Kluyveromyces lactis: one gene and its partners. The main gene of each other region encodes a partner of the protein of the gene in region 3 in a complex. Links are inferred from orthologs where the notes say so. Each region holds a gene or a part of one and is shown on either strand. Other genes may lie near its edges.

Region 1 (4,912 bases), on a different chromosome or scaffold from region 3:
AACCTCACAGAATAATGAAATGACAGACACTCTGCTTCTGCTTCACTAAACTTTTGGACTCGCTTTCTTTTGAACTTGTGCTTCCACTTTTCCTACTTCTACTCTTTATAAATACACGTTAACATTGTTAGTTAAGATTTGATTTCGAGTTTCATGTTTAACTCTCGAAATCATATTGCCGTTCGTTCACTTTTTTTTTTCTTTTCTGCGCATGAATAGCTCTAGATTATTTGGCAGATATCGCTTCGCCAAAGATATTTTTGGTGTTAAAGAGAAATAGAAGTTGCAAATGCAGCTCTTGGAGTGAGGCTTCTACTTGTCCTCTAGTTGACTGTGATTGCGAACTAAATTTTTTTTGTGCGTACAATGTGTATATTTCTCAGTGTCTGCATTTCTGTGATTCTTCCGTGAGTTGTCCAATATAATTTCATTTCGTTCTTATGCGATATATCCTTGATGCGTGGTTGATCTTGAATGCTACGTAATTTGTTATGTATGTACAGGTGTGAACTGAACGAAATCTTTTCGGCTTCAGAATCACTGAATTGCTGGTGTTTGTTGACGGAGGTATAACTCGTGTAGGAGCGCTCTGATCCGCAGTTCATTGTATTTGTCCCAATGGTCGTATAGTGATATGAGTTCTTGAAGGATAAACATCACTTGTTCCAAATTAACTTGAGTTTCAGCGATGAACATGTTGATGTTAGCACGCTTTGTACTGTCCTCTGGCTTGTGAATGATGCAAGACACTGCAAATAGACAACTTATGGCGATCACGTGCGGTGAATAGAGTAAATGGACATCGGTCGTATAACTATCGTTAATCAACGACCATATTTTCTGAAGCTCATCGTCTGAGAGTTTATAGTTGTACTTTTCGGATGATAATGCCTTCTCGATCTGTTCTAGAGACCGGTACGGATGGTGTACAATCAAATATGATTGCAATTCCTCGATTAAATAAAACTCAAACTCGGTCACTTTTGTCACATCCGGTGGAATAAACTCTGGCCATAGAGACCTCGCCTCGTTGACTAGCGTTCTTATATGCTGCGGACATTCTTCCACTTTGCAAGCCAAATAGATGCAGGTGGTGATTAAAAGATACAGGTTCACTTCCCTGACACTAGCTCGAAGCAAAAATCGGCTCAAATAAACATGTGCTGTAACAAGTGCACACTGCCGTATATTGAGCCTCCTGCCCAACTTCATTATAAGGAAATAGCAGTATATCCTCAAATTGTAGTCTCGATCATAATGCAGATCTCGCTGTGTAACCGGAATGTTTGTCGTCACCTGCTTGTTCGCCTTCGAATCGTGAATCGTAACATTCAAACCTTGTGGGAATAATTGGCATTCCAACAGCCAGAGTTTCTGCTTCTCCTTAGCCAAGGATTCCCTAGTATACTTCCACTTGTGCCTCTGACTCGAATCCCAGTATGAGGCGCTCATTTTGGAAAGATAATCTTCTAGCTGTTCAATGAATAAGGGGGGGAAAGGTATTTTTTATCCTCCAGTGAAATTTGTACTGCCTTTTGTTGTCGGAATCCTTTGTTCAAAGTACCTAACCCGATTCGGTTCTTACTACCTTACCGTTCGCTATTCTTCAATTCATCATCAAGTACATTATGATAAGCTGACCGTTGCAGCCCTAAATTTCAGGTCGTTAAGAAGTCGGGTAACCTTTTTGAAAATTTTTTGGAAAAAAGTTAAACATTCAACTATATGAACCAAACATCAGCACTTCAAACACTTACTTTTAATTAAATGTTTTCTAGTGTTGTCTTTTGTTGTTGTTTGTTTCGTAAGTCGAGGGTTTTGTAGTCGAAGAATCGTCACTGATCGAAGCTTACATAAGGAACGGATTTTATCTGTTCAATTGAAATGATATCATTTCTATAGCTTTGGGTAGAAAGTCTCCGACCAGTCCGTAAGCGGAAACGTAATGAGATTTAAAAACTTTTCAAATGTTTAAATCAACTCATTAATCGTGTTGGTTTTCTGTCACGGTTTCTATCCAGAGGCTGTTTTAGAAGCCTCTGTGTCTTGGGTACTGAAGTATTTCTTTACTTTAAACGAAAGTTATGACGATTGCCCGAGCGTTTTTATCTCTTTTTTTGTTACTTCTGTTTACAGGGGTGATTAGGGAGGAGGTAGCTTGGGTAACCCAATGGAGCTTACTTTCTCGGCTCACGAAACTCTCCATCCTTTTTTCAATCATCAAACAGCTTGAAGTGGATTCGTTTCAAATTTATTTTGAACTTTTCGATACTTACGCATAGTCAAATATGCCAAGCTGCCCTGATTATTTATTATTGTATCATTTATTGCCTTGGATTATACTCAGTTGAGTATCCTCTCATATCAAGTGCTACAAGGAAGAATTTCAAAAGATCCAGCCGTCATCTTTCCCTCTTCATTTTAGGATTTTTAACGTGATGAAATAACAATGCAACATAGAGTCAAGCTCTGAGCTTATATAGCATGGACGAGACTTGCTTTTTACAAACGTACTGATCAAATTTCCTTGATGATAAAGAAGAGTTATTGACTGCGGTCTAGAGTAGTACTGTATGTATCTTCTCTGTTTTGATTTTTTCTTGAACGCTGTTAGCACCGCACCATCTAGTATGAGTCCGGCTAACCATTTGCTATGAGTTGTAAACATGTGTAGTACTAGAATCATCTACTTGTTAGTGTGGTTTTCCCATCGAGTAAGTATCTCTTGTATTTCTTTGCTTTCCATTTACGGAACTACTACCTACCATTTCTATCTATCAGCTGAACTACATAACGTGGCACAAAAAGTGATCTTCCTATCCATATCTAACTTTGTCTCAAGCTGCTCACCTCTAATGTTACATAGCTATCTTCTATTTCTGCCCTGGAGTAAAAGAGGCTTTTTATTTCTGATCGTGAACTGATCATCAGATGGTTTTCTACTTGTTACTACCCATAAGTTCTAATGCATAAATCAACATGGTTGAATAAATGTTGCACCAATTCCAAAAGGACCATGAATCAACCACGATCTTTGGCTCTGTTTCGTATGGGAAACATCCCCATATACAGAGATCATTTTTCAATTGACCGCTATACCGTAGAATCAAATGCGTGTACATTGCAATAATGATGCATGGTGAATACCAGTACACAAAATTCATTATTCTTCTGAAACTTCTACGTTCTTTTGTATTTCTCTGCAATGTCGGTATAATACGTGTTGCACTGTAAAATATCAGTAGTCTGAACACTAAATTTATTACAACTGCTGGTATTAGACTTTCTTTGGCCATCTTGAATGTCACAACGAATATTTCTTGGATACTTATCGGTACGCTTTTAGTGAAATTCTTCACTGAGTTCCACAAAGGATTTAGAATCCATTTACATTGGTCCATCATTTTAATATATTTATGGTTCCGAGGCGTGTGTTCTACTATCTGACTCCAGATGGCGCGATAATTTTTAGTCATGAGTTCCAAAAGATTATCCTTCTTGGGCAAATTAGCCTGATGGATTTTCCATGTTTCCTTAACGATATCGAATATTTCGTCCATGGCATTCATCGCCATCTTAGGACTTATTTCGTAAACATTGCGAACCATATAAGCAAAAAACAACGAGCTTTCCATCACTGACCCTGATCCGTTTATACCATATAATCCGATACCACAAACAATTGAGAATGTGAACCCAAGTAGTGAAGCACTTGGTGTGGAGAGTTCCCACATTGGAGTGACATATATTCTGTAAAAGTAAAATAGTGATAGCGTAATAATTCCCCCACTGATCAACAAACTCAGAATAACCCATTGATTACTTCTTCTAGACATCTTGAGCCATCTCTCTGTCTCCCCTATGGCTTGAATGGCGAGAATGGTGAAAACACCCTCCAGTAGAGTGAACACTGGAGTCGAATGTATCAATGATAGCTGCCATGGCTTCACCATCACATTCCAAAATACTTTGAAGTACTCGGAATCGACAGTATCAGAGTCGATGTTTTCAAAGTATGACAAAAACATGAATAAAATTGAAGGAATGAGAAGATGCTGCAAATAATAAATCAGGGTTGACAACGCTGATCCGCGGTCCAGTAATACTAGCTTGAAAGTCGTTGAAACAAAATACAGAGCAAATAACGTTACAGTAAATGACAATCCACAGTTCAGCCCACCAACTTGGAAACTTATCGGAATGGTAATCAGCACGAGAAATAGATACATTGTCGTGAGAAATATCCGCAGAGTTTGAAGCACACTCTTCTTTATTAGTGGCATCTTGGAAACGTTGAATTTTGCACAGTGACGGGCTATTGTTGATGGCTCAAGCCTTCTTTCTTGACTCCTTCGTCTTCTGGTTTGCTTGAAGATTTCCATCGTAATTCTATGTAACATTATTTTTTTTGTTTGTATTATATAAGTTTATGAAAACAGTCAGTTTACAGGCGCAGTAGTAAAAGGAATGGAACGTACCAAAAAGGTAAACAGTATGACGAGCACACTACTTTGAACTTGTTTAATCGCTTCTCAAGGTAGACGTAATCTTTGAGGTGTTTCAGGTCTGCTGTGACATGACTTTACGGTAGGAAGGGGTCGACACTTCTTTTCAAGTACCTGGACCTGATGAGATCATTAAACACGGATGAAAAATTGAGCATCTAAGATTATAAGATGCGATGAGATGACATGAGATGAGCAGTATATTAAATTGACATCATATTAATTGTATTTGGTTATTGCTGGAGTAGTAGAAAAGTGTCATTTATTTGGTAAAGGAATCCTCAAACATGAGTAAAATCAGAGCTGGTCCAAAATCTGGTAGAAAACAGTTGAGAGAGATCACTAGAGCTGGTCAGAAAAGAGTAAGATATGATGACGAAGCAACGGTAGCAGACTTAACCCCTGAT
Region 2 (6,214 bases), on a different chromosome or scaffold from region 3:
TAATCAATAATATGGGTCTCCTTTTCGAATGAGCTCTTAACATGTACAATAGAGTTCATGACATTTTTTACTGCAACGACATGCCACGGAATGAAATTATCTTTTCCATAGGATACTCCGAACCATGGATTCAAACCTGCCAAGTTTCTGTATTGTTTTAAGATTTCCTTCAAAAGTGTTGAACTGTCTGCATGAGGGCAGTTCAAAAGATTTACCTCAAATTTATCAATGAAGTTATCGCCTTCGCTTTTTGCAAAACGAATCAATGCTCCACTTTTGATGGCGCATCTATGCTGGGAGTTTGCTAGCTGCAACGGGTTACTGAATATTAGTCCATGGACTTCCTCATCAATGTTAATTATCTCAAGATCGTCTATACTGTTTGATATTCCTGTCTGCGGATTCGATTTCGTTCTGAACAAGTTTTTAAATGTTGGGTATGTTTTGTCCTCATCGAATAATGTTAATTTCGTGTTATCTCCGACACAGACCACAGCAAGATGGAGATCTTTTGTGGCGACTGATAGACGTCTCCAATGGATCAATTCGTCATCAGGAAGGACACTATCGAGTCTTGTCAACACCAAGCAAACATTTCCAAAATTCTTAGACGCCAATTGTAGGGTTATTTTCCAGATGTCATTGCACACTTGTTCGAAACGAGTTCTGGAGTTACCGACATACCAGGTTTTCACGAAGCTTTCGACGCCTTTGGTGTCTGACCAGGCAGCACACAGCCACTCACGATCAATACTTCTCAAGTATGCCAAATGGATGTAGTTATCGTAATGGATAGATAAGGAGGCATTCTTCAGTGTCCGGAACTCAATTTGTTTGGGTAAATCATTTGTTAGGGACGTTACCTTAGTACTTTTTGGTGGTAGACTATTATAGATTGCCATACACAATGAAGTGTACGCAGTGATAGGTGTAAGTGGATTTTTGAGGAAATCTATATTCACGAGCCTCAACAAAATATCTGCCTTTGGTAACTTAGATTTGAACTCCTTCCTGATTACATGAAACTTGAGGATCATTGATATACATTCTGTTAATGAAAGTTTGTTGATGGGGAGAAAGATGAGTAAAGGAATGTTCTTAATATTTGAGAGTGCTGTTGAACAGAAAGATACAATCTGTGCGGAAAGAAGTAGTAAGGTGTCTTGGTTAAAATTTTTTAAGTATATTAACCCTTTATTATCGTCATTAGTCAACTTAGTCAGTTCACAGAACCCTAACTCATGATTCGAATATGTCTGAGACATTTGTGATACGAAAGACATGCAATCATTTTTTGCCTCAGTGGTTAGCACTAGGGCCCTGAAATTTTTTACCCCACGGTTGGGTTTCAGATTTAAATATTCCGTGAAATAACACGATGAGCTTTTTATTTTAATTGTATCTTCAGATTTCTTCACAAACACTGATGGTTCAGGCAAATAGAAGACTTCCTCTATTATTTCGTTTCCGTGAAGCTTTGAAAAATTCCCAAAAAGCTGGTTCATGGTATCGCTGATGGTGCCAACGGAGCAATCCTTGATCCCTTTAAACTGAGATTCTGTTGCCCTATCATCAGAAAACATATCATTATTGAAGACTATCTGATCTGTCAAAATCTCTAGAATATCCTCGAAGTCTTTTCCGGGCGGCAAAGATGGATTCTGACAAAGGAACACGTCAGGCAACGAGAACAAAGGCATGTGTCTCAAAAGGTAGGGGAGAATTCTAGATGATTCAGATTGTTCTTGCTCTGCGGTTTGAATAGTTTGTTCGCTTTTGGGGTCGATTTCAACCGTGGAAAGAAAGTTAGCTGATGAACTTCTTGGTTTTGAATTATCATATAGAGTATCCGGTCCGAGAGAAGGCGTATTCTCAAAGTAAGTTGTGGGATTTGAGTTTGAGCTGTTATTGCAGTCGTTTATGACCCCATTAATTGTCTGGTTTGGTAGATCAGCTCTTTCTGATTTACTTAAGGCGGGCTTCCATATTGCGTCTAAGTTGGACTTAACAGGTTTTTCCATTAGAGTTCCGATCGTATTATAAGATGCCACAGAATCATCTTTGGAAGAAGATGGTGGGTTTATCAATTCGGGAAGAGAGTCCTTTGCAATAGGTTCGTATGTTGATGACTCGATCATTGGTATATCATTGTCTCTTGGATCATATGATAAGCCCTTTCCTGCAGATGGTCCATTATTGTTGAAATCAGCAGGAGAAAAATCGCTATCATCATCTTCTGAGCTTGATATATTACTTGTACTTATCCCAAATTGTATTGGTTCGTCATTGGTGTTCGAGTTAACAGAAAACTTACCTCCATTCTTGTACTTGTTATCCACATTACTTTCAAAGATGGGGTTGAAATTGAGTGGTGCGAATATACTTTTCTTTCTGTCTTTTGGGGTTTCAATAGGCAAAGGTGCTCCTGGATCTTCGTATAATGTAGGTGTCTTTTCTATAGTAATGACATCCACTGGTATGTCCAAATAGGTACGCTTTGTTCTTGTCTTCTTTTCGTCAGTATCAATAGACTCGATGGTGTCGGGACGATCAAACTTTAACGAGTTACTAGTTGATCCGTCAGCCTCATCGTCATCTTCGGCTAGATCAAACATTTCGTCAGTAATCTCTTTTACAGATACCAGTTCTTCGTTCTTATTTCGCGTACTGACATCTTCGTCGCTATCTTCACCAAAAAGATCTTTGTCGAATTCTACATGCTCGTGTTCCTCTATCGAAATATTCTGAGCGGGAGATTCAAAAGCGGTTTCCAGTTCTACTTTACGCTCAGAACTACCTACTGATGCGTCCTTTGAGTTGATATTGGATGTACTATTTATTACATCCTTTTTCTCATTCCAAAGATCGTTCTGAGGTTTTACGGAAGGAGTTTCTGTTATAATATCATCAACGGTTGGAGTGATATTCTCATTTATTATTGGAGTTGTAATGAAACCATTACTGCTGTAACTCTCTGTGGGGAAATTCTGTCTACTAGTTTTATTATCTCGCAGAGGTGTTACGTTTGGATCATTAGAGTATTCCGGAGAAAACTTACCATTCTCTCCCGTTGAAGATACGTTATTGCTGTTATTGGCCGAATGCTTATTAAACCCTTGAAACTGATCAGTAAATATTCCTCCCGTACTTAATGGGTTATGTCCGGTTACAGTTCCCATCCCTGCAGATGTTCCAGGCGTTCTGTAGGCCGAAGTGAGTTTTAACTGTATAAATCCATCTATCATATCGAAACAATCATCTAACTCAAGCTGCGGGGATCTTGAAAATGCAGTATATTGAGGAGTTTGAACGTCAGATGCTGTTTGTACAAAACAGAGACATGCCGGCCAGATAACGAAATTATTTCCTTTTGGTTCGTCAAGATAATGTGATATTGTTGGAGTGAAGCCATTCAAATGGTTAGCATTTGGAATAAGCTTTACCCATTTCAAACCGTCGACATCGATTAAATTTATTCCATGGGAGACAAATAGTGTCTTGAGAAACATTTGAGCGTTTTTGGGTGGTGATACATAACATTTCTTTAAATCTGTGGATGGTAAATACACTCTGATCCCAGATGGAGCCAAATACACAGCCACTTCATGTTTGAGGCTCTCTGCATTCAACTTCGATAAACCCAAATCCTTGGAACAAATTGCAACAGTCAAATCTCCATTTTCAAATAGATGTGGATCAAAGTGTAAGATTTTGGTCGAAAAGGTATATGATTCCTGAAATATGCATGAGTTTCCAAAGGGCACGATGGTTTCATTGGAGGATAGGGTCAAATTGACATATATCATACGCCTGAGAGCCTTCATAAAGATGGCATATGGGGTAGGCAAGTGAGGTTTTGAGAATTCTGGGGTGAAGTGACCCTTCCGCTCTGGCTGGGGTGACTCCGATTCGTTATTCAGCTCAAGGTTTAACTCTGGTAATGGATCATCGTTAATACTAAAACACCATAACTCCCTGGAAAAAAGAGCTGCAAGTACTTTGGGGTTTTTCCTCCTTAGGAACAACTCTGCTTGAATTGACCATTGATTATCTGCCTTGCTAGGTACATATTGGTGATAGTTTATTTGTTTGACAGTTTCTAACCTGTATAAATTGGTAACGATGTCCTCCAATCGACATGCGTCCCCAACCTCCTTTTTCATGGTTTCCGTTGCTCTGATGAAAAGTAAGCTGGATAGTCAGACTGATTAGGATGCAACGGTACTTCAAAAATCCGTACTTGTTAAGAGATGCTGTCTAGTTACCTTCTTTTAAAATTATACGATTTTATCTCGAGTTATCACTACTTATAATAATGAATCGCTTGATCATTATAAAACAAAAACAAAAAAGATTGCCAATACAAAACAATGAATGACAGGTACCAAAGCATAAAGCTAAACGCACCCCCCGTGATTAGCGGCGCACTCTCAATTGGAAACGCAGTATAACCTGTACTTCTGCTAACAGTGGTTGGCGTATGCCAAGATGGCAATAAAACTGACTGAAGAGAACGACACTGAGTCATCAGATAGTGGTATTCTGCTTTTAAGGGAAACAGGGTCACTTGGTATCGGGGATGTCAATCGCTATAAGATAATTGTAGATAAAAATAAGCTACTATCTGACGGAATTGAGTGTACTGACGATACTCTCTATCTCGAATTCAAAAACCAGGAGAGCGCGCTTTTGAGGCCGTTATGGATAACTGGACCATACTCAATTTATGTTGAAATAACGCCGAACAATTATGACGAGAGAAAGCAATTCATAGGAGATGGAATTGAGTTCATGAGTGACCTCAAGCCTGATGAGAATTTCAAAGCGAAACTTTATCTCAATTCTAATGCTCGAGTTGACGGTACTTCTTGTTATGCTTGGAAGATTGACCTTATTGCCCAGTTCACTGTCGTTACCATTGTAAGGCTTCCATTCGTCTTCACGCTAGCTACAACATACAAAACTGCTAAACATTCCCAGAAAGACAAGAATATAGAAGTTCAGCAGACTGATGGGTTGAAAATTTCCAAACTTGACACTGAACAGTTGTGGAATTTACCTCCGCCATTTCCAGATAAGCCAGTTCATCTCGTAATTATTACACATGGCATCTTCTCTTCTATTGGCGGAGATATGCTTTGCTTAAAAGACACCATTGAACGAGCGTCGAACTTTTTGCCAGATGATAATAATGGCAATCTTGTAATAAGAGGGTATCCTGGAAACGTCGGGAAGTCTCATAAAGGTATACGGCATCTAGGATTCAAGTTGGCAGAATATATAATCGATACCATCGATAAACTTCAACAGCAATTCACCTTAACAAGAATCTCATTTGTAGGTCACTCTTTGGGAGGACCCGTGCAAGCTATGGCCATTCACTATATCTCTGTCGAACGACCAGACATATTTGACAAGACCACAGGCTTGACACCCGTCAATTTTGTGGCGGCGGCGAGCCCATTCCTCGGAGTCATTGGAGATTTGCCCAAATACATATCTATCGTGCTGGACATTGGCGCTTTGGGACAGACTGGAAGGGATCTCACATTGAAGCGCAGCTATTTTCTGCCATCAAAAGGTATTGTAAATAATGATGGATCACATGATAGAATCAAATCTAAACCCATATTAGAGCTTTTACCTAAACATCCGGCGTTAGAAGTTTTCCAACGATTCAAGTGTAGAACCGTGTATGCTAATGTCGCATTTGATGGTATAGTGCCTCTAAGGACGGCTGCTTTACTATATCTTGATTGGAGAGGTTTAAGTGATGTGCAACAGGTGAGGAGCGAAAACAATGCCCAATCTGAGGAGGGAGTTGAAGAACAGAAAGGGTCATCTTTGGGGGAAATTCCAGAGAGCTCTTCGGACAATAAGTCTATTCTCCAATGGTTGCTGCCCCAGTCACTCATTAAAAAGGAAAAATATAAACCGTATGTGCGGACTCAAACTACCAGTTCGGTAGAATCTGCCAGTAGTGATTCGAACAATAATTCTGACTCTCCAACTACTTTCAAACCTCCAAAAAAGGCAAATACATTGCAAGCTGCTGCAAGTACAATATCGGCACCGCTGCCAGGAATGTCGTACCTAGTGGATCCCTCCAGTAGAACGGACAGAATTATTCATGACAAGGTTTATACCCCGGAAGAATTACCAGATAAACACTACAAACATAAGAAGCTTGTGAAAAAGATAATATATCCCAATT
Region 3 (6,371 bases):
GTTTTGATTAAGATTGAAATGAAAAATGGATCAAATGACGATGAGCTGGATCTCAGGTTAACTATAGAAAAGTTGGTCTCAGATTACGTACCAAATGCCGAGACCACAATAGAAATAGAGAGGATGTGAATGTTATCAAAGTATTTAATGGGAAATCTTGGCCCAGTTGAAAAGTAAATATATATGTGACTTATTCATATATCTAAGAGGGATTAGTCTTTTCCAACCTTGCATCGAATAAACCTAAGCTCAAACTGGTATTATTCAATTCGCCTTCCAGTGGCTCTTGATAGTTAACCAAATATTGGAAAGGTTCAATCTTGAAGATACAATCGAACTGAGATGACTTCTTATTGAAGACGAAGTATTTTAAAGCTGAGTTCGTTTTGGCCTGTTTATCACATATACCTAAACGAATTAGACTTGGCTCGTCTTTATCAAGGAATTCATCTTCAGTACCTTCAGAATCTAAGAAAGACGAAATCGCGAATTTCGGCAATTGATTCAAAACGCTTGGCATTTTTATTGAGTGCAGAGCCTGATCCTTTGTTTCGTTTAAAATATAAGACTTTAGAGAAGTTAGGAGATCATAAAGTAGTAGCTTCAACTTCAAGTCTTTACCGGTGTTATGGAACAAAGTATAGAAATTGTCAACCATATAGTGATCACGGAGCTCAATTGATTCAAAACAATGTCTCAATATGAACTTCTCATGAATGATAACGATCTTTAATAGCTCGTTCAAGTTTTCGTCGTATTTCTTTAATGTATCGTTAGGCATTTTTGCAAATGTAGCAATAGTATTTTTGAACAGTTCCAAAACCTCTGAATCCATCCCCAGGCTTGACATATTTACCAGATGCCTGCTTAGTACAATTTCTGTATCCATCATTATATGCAAGAAGACTAACGCAGATTTTTCTGTCTCCAAAACTCTTGCTAAAAATTGTCTTTCAATAACTGTCAAAAGGGTCGACACTTGTTTTTTGTCTGAGATATTACTGAATATTTTTGGTAATAATGAGTTGTAACCAATTGCGCCGACGATGCTGGAGAAAAAGTCCGATAGATCTTCAGCATTAGAGTTTTTTACATTGAATTCGGTGAGTATCTGGAACAACCAAGTATTGGTGAAGTTCAAATACCGATATAGATCAATGGTGTTGTCTATTGCTTCATTTTCGATATTCATTCCATATATCAACATATCTCTAATGATAGACATGTTTTTCTCTTCTCTTAAAATGTGGCTGACAACTTGAGCAGATTTTTCACTCAAATTTGAATTTGGACCATATTCCACTAGCATTCTCACTAAAGTGTCCCTGAATGTAGGTCGACTGAAAAGTTGAAGAGTGATTTGTTTGAAATTCCTCTTGACAAAGGCATTCTTTTCATTTTCGAAATTTAGACCATAATTAAAGCTTACTTGTGACACTAATTCACATAATAAATCAAAATGTGATGTCTTCTGAATTACCTCAAAACTTAGTAATTTTAATGAAATAAGTTTTAATAATTCATGAACAGTGAAGTCTCCTCTTTTCACAAAAATTGACAAAAACTTATTATACTCTGAGGCGTGTGAGGCCTTGCATAGTAACAAGAGTTTTCTACAATTGGATTCATCTTCGGGATTATGAAGAACCTTTTTAATATTTTGCTGGATCACACTAGGAAAGTTCTGCTCTTCAAACTTCGTATTCTTATTACCGGTTATTTCCAGGTATAACGACACCGTTTCGTTTGGCATTTTAGTAAAGTGATCTTTCCGGTGTCTCTCTAACTCGAAAACTTCAGCAATTTGATTCTGCAACGACGAGTCCATTTCAATCATGTTTGCACAATTCTTAACGAAAAACTTCCAAAAACTCTTAAAATTTATCAATTCAAAAGCTGCTTTGTCTTTTATCCGTAGATCCCTCATATAACTGTGTAATAATGTCTTCATAAATAAAATATGATCATTGATAAGTAAAAGAAAAGCTTTGTCCAAATAAAGCAAAATGTCAGTGAATACTTCTAAGTTTTCAAGGTCATCAATTAATTGATGATAAACAATATACTCAGCCCACCCAAAAAAGTGATGTAACTCTCCTAGATTGATACAAAAAAGTTGGAATGTTTTGATGATCTTATGATTATTGACCTTCTGAAGTTCCCCTTGATTAAAACAGATTTGAGATAAATACCATTCGGAGCACATAATCCGTATGCTTCCTGGATACTCCTCAAGCCTTTCAAAATCACCACTAAGAAGTTTAGGTTTAAGGCTTTCAAAGATCGACACTAACTTGTCAAAATTGTACTTCTCATAAAAGTGAGGAGCGTACTCCATAACATTCTTTAACACCATGTTATATTGCGACTTCATAATAGGTGATATCTTTAAATTGATAAGGAGTTTACAGTGGAAATTTTTATTCTCGGATTCTGGCAAATAGAGTACACCAGAACTTATCAAACGTCTGATGTATGTTGGGACTTTAATTATTCCATAACCAATAAAGACATTCAAAAGTTGATGCAACTTCGGAAGCCATACGATTTTCTGCAATTCTAACTTTGATAATTTAGAAAAATGGAAAATAAGACTCCATATAACATCCTCAATGCTGTATTCTTGGAATGATTCTTGAGAATTGATTTTTAAAACTAATATTTTCGCAACTAAATGACAACTGTCATATCGATGCTTACGTGAAGGATTGATTGCCCATAGAATAATTTCAATGACCTGTTCCATTTTCGTAATTTTTTGGTCAATAAATAAGCTCCACTCTGAGCCTGAAAGGCCACTATCTAATACACCGAGTAATTCTGGGCTCACATTCTTGAGATTCAAAATATTTCCTGAGAAAACATTGTCTAAGGTAAGTTCAGTGCTGAAAGGAGAGGTTTCTCGAGAAGGTTCCACATCAAGGGATCCCAACCGTAACGATTCATTCCTATATGATATCAATTTCAATTTCTTTTTTAACTTTGGGGTCTCTTCATCAGAGACATTCTGAAGTAATATTTGATACAAGTAATTCTTATAGATGTTCCAATTTTGCTTTGGCATGATGAACGCTTCTAAGGATTGAGTATGGAAAATATGGGAAATAAACTGCCGCAACCGTAATAAAACAGACTCTTTGAGTTTTGAATTTCTCTGGACATCATTTATGATATACTTCGAGTCATTAATCATACACTTGGACTCAGATATGATGTGGTACTTTCGTAATAGAATTTCTGAAAGCTTTATTATCAAAAACGATGATTCTATTTCTGTATCTTCTTCTGTTGTCCCAAGAATTCCACTCCAGAAGATAGAAAGGATATGCAATGTCATAGGATAGAATTCGAAGCTCTCTATTTTACTTAAAAAATCTACCAGCCATTGATGCAAAGTAGATCTGTTTAATAGTTCCATTTCATAACAGTTACCTAGAATCTTCAAATAATGAGCGATGCGTAGCTTCCAATATTTCAACTGCCCCGGATCATTGTAATATTTACTGACTTCAAAAACCAATTTCTCAAGGATAAGGACCATATTATCGGTCCAGTCTTTGTACAAAGTACTAAGAAGCTCTTCATGGGTGGTTTCTCCTTTGGCTTTTGAGATCATTCCTTTCCATTCAATAGCATAGCAACTTTTGATTAGCCATATGACACGATATATTGGAACGAATTGTGTGTAGCATTGTTCCAAAATGTGCCTTTTCCTAAATCCATGAGGAACAGATTTAGTTAATTTCCGCAATGATGTGTTCGATGAGCTTAATTCCTGAAGCCACAGATTCCTCTTTTGATCTGTAAGCGTGACTCTGTTAGGCAAATGAAAATCTTGACCGGACCATTTAGTGAACCTTGTACTGTCTTCTATGTCCAGTGTACTTATCCTATTAATTTCTTGTTCTCGTATCTCAATAATCTTGGATAATTCATCTCCTAACAATGAGGAAACTTTGGGAAGTGATCCTTGTAAAGCTGAACGAGCAGAAATGGTTTCAAAGTTTACCCTAGAAGCAGTATAGTAGCCTTTTGCCACGAACTCTTTAAGTATCTTATCCTCCTCTTTGGTGTGAATCCACGGATCAAAATCAGGATAGATTTGTGGGTTGGAGTCGGTGAGCGGATGTAATTCCTCCGGAGGAGTTAGTAAATATTTTGACGGTGACATCAGAAGTATCTAGCGGTTATTCTCTGACTACTTATATGTGTTAACAAGCACTAGTTAAGACAGTTTAACCTGCCTAAGGTACTTTGAAGGTTTATAGTGTTTCAGTGATTCTGAACGATCAATCACATATCAATTTAAGGTAAAGAAAGTTCTAAAGTGGAGGAAAAACACTGCTCGAACAATAAATAACATGTCACATGATCAACTCATCAGAAGAGGCAAAATAGATAGTAAGTATAAGATCATTAGTGCCTTCTCAAATATCACTTAGACGAGCCCCAAGAATGGGGTACAGTTACTATGATCTTTTTACTTATTTAGTGATAATATGCTATTTACTGTCTGCTTCTTTGCTGGTTTGGAGTTGTTTGATACAACCCTTGTACGTATCCTTCAAAGTGTCTTCAATAGAGAATAATTCAGACAACTTTTCTTCGTCAAGGTAAGCAGATGGTTGATAACCATCAATGTCACGACTGAGGTCAGTGTCAATATGTTGTGACCAGAATTTCTGTTCACCCTTACCAACTAGAAGGTTAATTGCTATACCCTCAGTATTAGCCCTTGCAGTTCTACCACAACGATGAACATATTGTTGAGAGGAGATCGGTAGATCATAGTTTATCACATGAGTAATTTCATTTATATCGATACCTCTAGCCATTATGTCCGTTGAAATTAAAACTGATTTCTTTTGTTCTGAGGATGCAAATTCCTGTATTAGTTTTCTGCTACTACCCTTCGAGATGTTCGAATGAATTGATGAAAGGAACATATTATACTCATCTTCAATTATTCCTGATCCTAACATGGCATGTAATAAGCTTTCTAATCTGATCGAAGCTTCGTTACTCTTCACAAACACTAATATTTTAGCGTTTCTCGAAGCACTGCTCTTGATGTCGTGTATTATTCTTAGTAAGAGTAGTGGCTTGAACAGACTCTTAGCAGTAGGAATATTGACATTGAGTTCTTGCAATTTCTTAGGTATTGAATATAATTTAACAGAATCTGTGAGGAAGATCTTGGGGTTGTGGAGATACAAATTGTACAACTTTTCTGCATTCGTAGTCAAAGTAGCAGAAAAGACCATTTTGATTACGTTTCCTGGACGTTTATCCTGCTTATCGTTTGTCAAATGGTGGAAAAGCACTTGGTTCCAATTTTGGAATGACTGATTTAATAGTCGGTCTGCTTCATCAAGGACTAAGAACTTCAAAGTTTTTAGGTCAAATGATTCCATCTGCAAGTGATCGACCAGTCTGCCCGGAGTGATGATTAGAATGTCTGGAGAGTTATACAAAAATTTGTTGTGTTCTTCTTTCAAGGAGTTCTCGAGTTTCGACATTGATACATTGAGACTGGTCCCTTGACTTAGTTTAGAGAGACAATCGTAGACTTGATGAATTAAAATTTTAGTAGGAACCAAAATTATTGCCCTAACTTTATTCACTGTTCTAGATCTCAAAATTTGAACCAAAGGGACAGAATATGCTAAGGTCTTACCGGAACCAGTTGATGCGTTTACTAATATATCACCAACTCGTCTTGTGAAAAGTTTTCTGTTTGCTTTAAAAGATGAGTTTAGAAGCGGGAGCACTTTATCGAATAGAATGGTCTGAATAGGGAACGTTTCAGATGAGAAATTGGAGGTAATATTTTTAAGCAGACGTGCATCTAATTCACCTTCGTAGCTATCGAATTGTTTAACCATTTTACTATCGTAATGAATTTTGGTTGCTGCATCCCACGCAGTGGATTTATATGTAGACGGATCTAGAAGCTTCAAGGCTTCATTGGTCACTTTGGCCGGTTGAGGAATTGGGGTAAGACTGTGAACATCTTTCATGGATACGTCCTCATCGTGTACATCGTTGTCACTACTGACCTTGTCTGAAGCGCTCAACGCACCTTGCAGGGAAAGAGTCTGTTGAAATCTATTTAATACGGAACTGTGCTTTGCATCAACTGATTGCTGAGAAGTTTCTGTAGGCGCAACAGATGCAACCTTGTTTTCATCTTGCTCACTAATTGTATCGGAATCATCCTCACTGCTGGAAGCATCATCCTCACTGCTGGAAGCATCGTCCTCACCAGAGCCTTCATCATCAGTTTCCGCATCTCTTTTCCTCTTTTGGGGCACAGTGGGTTCTTTTATTTGTGTGACTTCAGCTGTTAGTACATTTTCAGTCACCTTAGT
Region 4 (5,653 bases), on a different chromosome or scaffold from region 3:
TTCAATACCACATGAACAATGATCTTTCCGCACTTTATTTCAGTGTCACAAAAGACTCCTTATATTCAGACTCCTTGAATAACAAGAAACGATTGTCAATTCAAACGACATTGTTCCATATTCTTGACACTTACCGTAGCATAATGTCACCAATCATCCCAATAATGGTTCAAGAAGTTTGGAATTATACCCCTAAGGAATGGATTAATGAAAATTCCTCTGAAGGAGTGGCGGAAATCGAAACTCCATTCACTAGGCAATGGGACTCATTGCAAGACGTCCCATCTTCTAATGATGAACGACTGGAAAGCTTTGCATCGAATGAGTTGAAAATTCTGAATATCTTCACTGAGAAATTTAATAGGATGGAAGATATTACAAAAACATTGCAGGTGAAAGCAACCATATACTGTTCAGATCCTTCATTGTTACCATTTACAGCGGAAGAAATGGAGGATTTATTACAAGTTGGTAAACTAAATATTGAGCACGGTAATAGATCCGACCTAGAATCGATCTCACTACCATCAGTTGACATCCAGTTACTGCTAGAAGAAAGTACGTCTGATAAATGTCCTAGATGCTGGAAGCATAACTCCCCAAGTGAGGACACTCTGTGCAATCGTTGCGAGGAAGTTATTAATGCATTATGATCACATGACCTTCACATAAATCACTTGTAAATAGTATTCTTTTTAACAACAGGCATGAACATAGACATGCGAAGGTTTATCAATACGATAAAGATATCACACCATAAATTAATTCAACGACTGTTAGACATCATAGTGGCGTAATCACTGCTATATAATATTTTGTTTGATCTCCGAAGGGCTCGCTGTACTTGTTGTAGACATACACATACTCCAACACACAGAAATATGAAATTACTGCAATCATTGCCAGGGCTTGGCACTAGCTGTTCCAAAATGGTAATCGGTAATAGGTACTCGATAATCCAAAAGAGAGGCCCGGCGAAATTATTTATCAATGGGATACGGTATAACTCGAGCAAGGTCGAACCATCGAAAATTGATGATAGGCTGCATCGGCTGATCAAAAAGTCCAAATTCCTGACAAGATTGAACGGTAATCCTCGTTACAAACATTATTTCGATAAACTTTCTGAAGCCGGCGCCGTTTCTACAATGACATCATTCTTAATCCTTCACGAAATTACTGCTATCGTTCCTTTGTTTGCTCTATGGGGACTGCTTTATAACTTAGATCTGTCTGACCAATATGAGATGCCAGTATATTTCAAGGATTTGTTGAACAAATGTGGTGAAAGTATAGGTAAATTAATTGGAGATTACGATAATGGCTGGGATAGAGATAGATTAGTTGTATCTGGGGCTCTTGCATACGCCATTGTTAAAGTATTGTATCCTGCTCGGATACTTTTCAGTTTATGGGCAGCTCCATATGTTGGAACTTTCGTAATAATGCCTTTTACCAAACTTAGGGCATTAATTCGTCGTTGAGCTAAAACCTGATCTTCCATTGGCACTGATGTAAATAGACTAATTTATATATAGACTCGCATTCATCTTATTATTATAAAACTTCATGGATCATATTTATGAAGACAACTACGATTAGTTTACAGTTAGTGTCTCAAATCCTTGATAATAGTAATAAATTCAGCTACGACTAACTATTTATTCATGATACAACGACATATCAGGCCAGAGTTGGCTACTTTATTATCTAATGACTCTTTCTTCACAGAACAACGAATGGTTCTTATATTGACGTTTTTATAAGAATTTAAAGCGAAGTGATCCATTAGAAAAATGATTAAACGTTGAACGCTTTGAGAATATAAAGACAAGCTCTCGGCGGATACAGCATTCTATCACTTTTTATAGACTGCGATTTACTGCTGTAATGTACGGCAACCAACAAAACAACTCCAATCCATATCAAATGTCGTATTATCGAATGAATAACGGCCAAGGCCAGGGTACTAATCGCTGGCCTCAACAACTGTCACATCAGGAAATGTTAGCGGGCCATTCTCAACAGATCCTTAATAACAATAAACCAGCTGGAAACCAATCGAAGCCTCCGATTGTGATGGCTAGTAATAATGTTTTCTCTATTGGTCCATACCGTCAACGAAAGGATAGTTCAAGAATCTCGGTGTTACAAAAGTACGAGATTATCGGGTATATTGCAGCTGGTACGTATGGTAAAGTTTACAAAGCTAAAGCGAGGGATTATCAGAATGGTATGAATAGAGACAACGTAATAATACTAGATTCTCCGGATTCTGTGAGTGCTGATTCAAATTTGGATATAAATTCAATCAACAGATCCACTAGACAACAGGAGGCTAACGACAACCTTACAACCATGGACTTTAGGAAGCCTTCCCACAAGCGATTCACACCTCCAAATAATAGCAACTCAACACAGATACGGTCTAATAGTGGATCAGAAACAAATGTAAGGATAAATTCGTCGAGTATAACAAACAACTCCAGAAAGCCTTCTCAAATTCAGTTCTATGCTATTAAGAAGTTCAAAACGGAAAGAGAAGGTGTCGAGCATTACACAGGTATCTCACAAAGTGCATGCAGAGAGATGTCACTTTGTAGAGAATTGGATAATAACCATTTAACGAAATTAGTTGAAATATTCCTAGAGAAGAAGAGCATCTACATGGTCTCAGAGTTTGCTGAACATGATCTTTTACAAATTATCCATTTTCATTCGCATCCTGAAAAGAGACTAATACCGCCAAGGATGCTCAAATCAATAATGTGGCAAATTCTTGATGGTGTTTCTTATTTGCATCAGAACTGGATTCTTCATAGAGACTTAAAGCCCGCTAACATTATGGTTACCGTTGATGGCTGCGTCAAGATCGGTGATCTTGGTCTAGCGAGAAAATTCAATAACATGGTACAGACTTTATACACTGGTGATAAGGTTATTGTAACAATTTGGTATCGTGCCCCAGAACTTATACTTGGAGCTCGACATTATACTCCTGCAATAGATCTTTGGGCTGTTGGTTGTATTTTTGCAGAACTCATCGGTTTAAGGCCAATCTTTAAAGGTGAAGAGGCCAAGATGGAGTCCAAGAAGAGTGTTCTGTTTCAAGCTAATCAGTTTCAAAAAATATTGGAAGTCATGGGTTCGCCAGATCATAAAATATGGCCGAATATCGACAGTTATCCAGAATATCTTCAGTTGGCAAAAATGCCAAAATATCGTGACAATTTAACAGCATGGTATCAGACCGCTGGCGGTAAGGACAAGACTGCTTTAGACATTCTTTACCGTCTATTGCAGTATGATCCTATCAAGAGAATCGATGCAATCGACGCTTTAGACCATGTCTATTTCACCAACGGCGACCCTCCTGTCTGTGAAAATGTGTTCGAGGGTCTCAACTACAAATACCCACCAAGGCGCATTCACACAAACGATAACGACATTACGAATGTCGGCAATGATAATAATCAAGCTAATCACTCTCAAAAACAACCAATGCATGGTAACAATAATAATAAGAATGGGAACATGAACGGATTAGGTGTAAACAAACGTATCTTGGCAGCAGCAGCGGCAGCTGCCGCTGCAGCTGCTGTGTCTGGTAATGGAAACAACCCCACAAGCAATACTGCAACCGGAGGATCAGCACGGAAAAAGAGAAAATGATTCTATAATTGAAATGCATGTTATTTAATATACAGATTTTATATCCTAGAAACTTCATTGCTTCGGAATGCTTTGAATTTTTGCCTTTGACTATTGTTTACATTCAAGAACGGCCCTTGTTCTTTCTTCTACGTTTAGATCCAATAATCTGTTTAATATTATTACTTAGACCAGATTTTGTTTCCTCTTCTACTGGTTGAGCCACTTTTTCTTCTTCTTTATTCTCTTCATCATCTCTTTTTCTCTTGAAAGATATCAATCTAGATTCTTTGACCTTTTCTCTTCTTCTCTTCACAACGTTAGCGTTTTCGATAGCAAATTCGACCACCAGTCTTCTTTTTTTGAAACTGTCTGCATCAAGCTGTTTCTTTTCATCATCCGTAAGTCCTTCTAAGATTTCGTCCCTACTGACTTCATGAGCATTTAACCATCTTAGACACATTAGCGCAGCTTTATGATCCCTGAATTCAACAAAACCATACCCTCTACTTCTACCACCGCTAGATCCTTTAATTTCCATGATAATTTTAGATTGTCTAACAATACCTTGTTTCTTGTCCTTCTTCTTTTGAGCTTCGATTTCTTCTTCAGACATGAACTTGTACTTTTCCTTAGTAGATCTGACGATTTCTTCTTTATTCAATGCGTGTCTCTTGTTTTCGTTAACTTCTTTGGCGAACTCTACTACAGCTTTACGAGCTAGCGCCTTTAGACCCTTCTCAGTCATTGCTCTTGGAATATTTCTGATAGCCAATCTAGTCATCGAAAGATGTAACGTTGGATTCTTCTTCAATTGTTCGACTCTTAACTTGTAAGATTTTTCTCTGACTTCCATATCAGCAGGAGTTAACAACTGTGAAAGCTTTGAACCTGCAACAATTCTACCTTCATTTAACAAATATAGATTACGTCTGTCCTTTTCACCTGGTGCCTTACCAAGAACTTCTTTTCTCTTCTCGGCATTTCTCTCAAACATTCTTCCAGCAGATTCTCTATCAAGAGTTGGAGAAATTGCAAGAACACGACCCTCATAAACATACTCTGGGGAAACATCATCACTTATTAGAAGGGATGTACTTCCTGTAGCAGGAGCATTATTTAGACAGTCGTTGTAAGCATCTTCGCTTCTGAATGCAACGAAAGCAGTACCCTTCGCCAAACCAGTTTCTTTATCAATCACTGGCAAAGCGTATTTTACTGGGCCGAACACGCCGAAATGACGTTCTAAGGATTCTTGAGTGGCATCGTATGGAACATTACGCACAAAAATAGAGAAATCTTCCTTTCTGTTCTTCTTTACGGTATCCTGTTCTGGTGTTTCCTCCTCTTCGCTGATTTCTTCATCAGAATCCAAGACGATGTCACTTTTTTCTTCTTTTTCTTTGTCGTCCTGATTGTCAGCGTCCTCTTCACCCGAATCAGAACCATCATCCTCATCATCATCATCATCTTCTTCTTCTTCTTCCTCATCTTCATCAGACGCTTCCAGTTCCTTATGTTCGTTCTTATAGTCCTCCCATCTGTTCTTTTGAATTGCAAAATCAACAGCCACTTTCCTGCCATCGATCTTCAAATCCTTAGTGCCTTCTATAGCAGCCTTACAGTTAGAGATCCTGTTCATTGTAACAAAAGCAAACCCACATAATCTACCGTCTCTCTTCCTTGGGATCGTAGCTTCAACAACGGTACCGTACAATCCGAAGATTTTCTTCAGTTTCGTCGGATCACGACAGGACCATGGCATATTTCTGATAATTAATTTCGGTTTACCCTTCATTAAATCATTATCATCTTCGGGTTTGCTTTCCTCCTCATCTTTAACATTATCTACGGAAGGTGCTGATGATACCTCATCCGCATCCTTTTTACCACGGGAACGTTCTCTTCTTTTGGCAATATCGATTCTCAACAAACGTCCCATAAACTTCGTCTTTCTAGCCTGATTCAAAGCAGTCTTAGTATCATCTTCAACTGCAAAACT

What was found.
Region 1: the proteins of SRB8 (region 3) and SSN8 are in contact, whole or in part, in a cryo-EM structure (PDB 7KPV), measured with the Saccharomyces cerevisiae proteins. The link is inferred for Kluyveromyces lactis from reciprocal best matches to the Saccharomyces cerevisiae genes SRB8 and SSN8. Residues at the interface, in NP_010004.1 of Saccharomyces cerevisiae: Asp14, Leu16, His17, Pro18, Tyr19, Val20, Pro21, Ser22, Val29, Tyr30, Pro31, Asp32, Phe33, Lys34, Pro35, Tyr55, His56, Pro58, Met59, Val60, Asn61, Phe62, Glu63, Ser64, Ile65, Ser66, Ala67, Arg68, Ser70, Val71; in NP_014373.3 of Saccharomyces cerevisiae: Ser2, Gly3, Ser4, Phe5, Trp6, Arg11, Tyr79, Met83, Arg87, Arg92, Gln93, Ser183, Leu184, Lys185, Gln186, Ile187, Val190, Pro195, Phe196, Ser202, Leu205, Gln206, Asn207, Trp209, Ser210, Leu211, Asn213, Asp214, Pro225, Pro226.
Region 2: the proteins of SRB8 (region 3) and SSN2 are in contact, whole or in part, in a cryo-EM structure (PDB 7KPV), measured with the Saccharomyces cerevisiae proteins. The link is inferred for Kluyveromyces lactis from reciprocal best matches to the Saccharomyces cerevisiae genes SRB8 and SSN2. Residues at the interface, in NP_010004.1 of Saccharomyces cerevisiae: Leu75, Val76, Ser79, Leu82, Ser83, Phe86, Asp87, Ile90, Lys99, Ser102, Ser104, Thr105, Leu108, Leu140, Lys168, Arg169, Ile171, Lys175, Met223, Tyr227, Leu233, Trp236, Lys237, Leu244, Lys245, Gly248, Asn249, Tyr251, Ser252, Leu253; in NP_010731.3 of Saccharomyces cerevisiae: Ala5, His126, Lys128, Leu129, Ser138, Ser140, Val142, Pro143, Tyr145, Val147, Leu163, Ala165, Ser288, Gly289, Asp290, Phe294, His295, Cys296, Leu297, Asp299, Ala300, Leu301, Ala303, Ile304, Asp306, Phe307, Ile308, Leu310, Lys311, Gln312.
Region 4: the proteins of SRB8 (region 3) and SSN3 are in contact, whole or in part, in a cryo-EM structure (PDB 7KPV), measured with the Saccharomyces cerevisiae proteins. The link is inferred for Kluyveromyces lactis from reciprocal best matches to the Saccharomyces cerevisiae genes SRB8 and SSN3. Residues at the interface, in NP_010004.1 of Saccharomyces cerevisiae: Gly4, Ser5, Gly6, Tyr8, Leu9, Leu10, Thr11, Lys34, Pro35, Trp36, Glu37, His38, Glu42, Asp43, Ile45, Leu46, Ala47, Phe49, Val50, Ala51, Lys52, Gly53, Phe54, Tyr55, His56; in NP_015283.1 of Saccharomyces cerevisiae: Asn216, Trp268, Asp272, Ser275, Tyr276, His278, Gln279, Asn280, Trp281, Phe311, His312, Asn313, Met314, Leu315, Thr317, Ala339, Arg340, His341, Thr343, Pro344, Tyr402, Lys405, Tyr406, Pro407, Pro448, Ile449, Asp453, Phe455, Leu458, Val470.

The regions. Positions count from the first base shown.
Region 1 is NC_006041.1:737,274-742,185, forward strand, and holds SSN8 (cyclin-dependent protein serine/threonine kinase regulator SSN8), read right to left. Parts: upstream 1,453-4,912; coding exon 538-1,452; downstream 1-537. Other genes in the region: ICE2 (Ice2p), read right to left, coding at 2,940-4,400; rRNA-binding ribosome biosynthesis protein UTP25, read left to right, coding at 4,793-4,912. UniProt on the Saccharomyces cerevisiae protein: Component of the SRB8-11 complex. The SRB8-11 complex is a regulatory module of the Mediator complex which is itself involved in regulation of basal and activated RNA polymerase II-dependent transcription.
Region 2 is NC_006038.1:106,221-112,434, forward strand, and holds the start of SSN2 (Ssn2p), read right to left. Parts: upstream 4,164-6,214; coding exon 1-4,163. Other genes in the region: KLLA0_B01375g (putative hydrolase), read left to right, coding at 4,489-6,214. UniProt on the Saccharomyces cerevisiae protein: Component of the SRB8-11 complex. The SRB8-11 complex is a regulatory module of the Mediator complex which is itself involved in regulation of basal and activated RNA polymerase II-dependent transcription.
Region 3 is NC_006042.1:661,468-667,838, forward strand, and holds SRB8 (Srb8p), read right to left. Parts: upstream 4,172-6,371; coding exon 203-4,171; downstream 1-202. Other genes in the region: Zn(2+) transporter ZRG17, read left to right, coding at 1-129; putative ATP-dependent RNA helicase DBP6, read right to left, coding at 4,503-6,371.
Region 4 is NC_006040.1:1,005,259-1,010,911, reverse strand, and holds SSN3 (cyclin-dependent serine/threonine protein kinase SSN3), read left to right. Parts: upstream 1-1,890; coding exon 1,891-3,672; downstream 3,673-5,653. Other genes in the region: isoleucine--tRNA ligase ISM1, read left to right, coding at 1-653; MRX11 (Mrx11p), read left to right, coding at 882-1,484; mRNA-binding ribosome biosynthesis protein NOP4, read right to left, coding at 3,776-5,653. UniProt on the Saccharomyces cerevisiae protein: Component of the SRB8-11 complex. The SRB8-11 complex is a regulatory module of the Mediator complex which is itself involved in regulation of basal and activated RNA polymerase II-dependent transcription.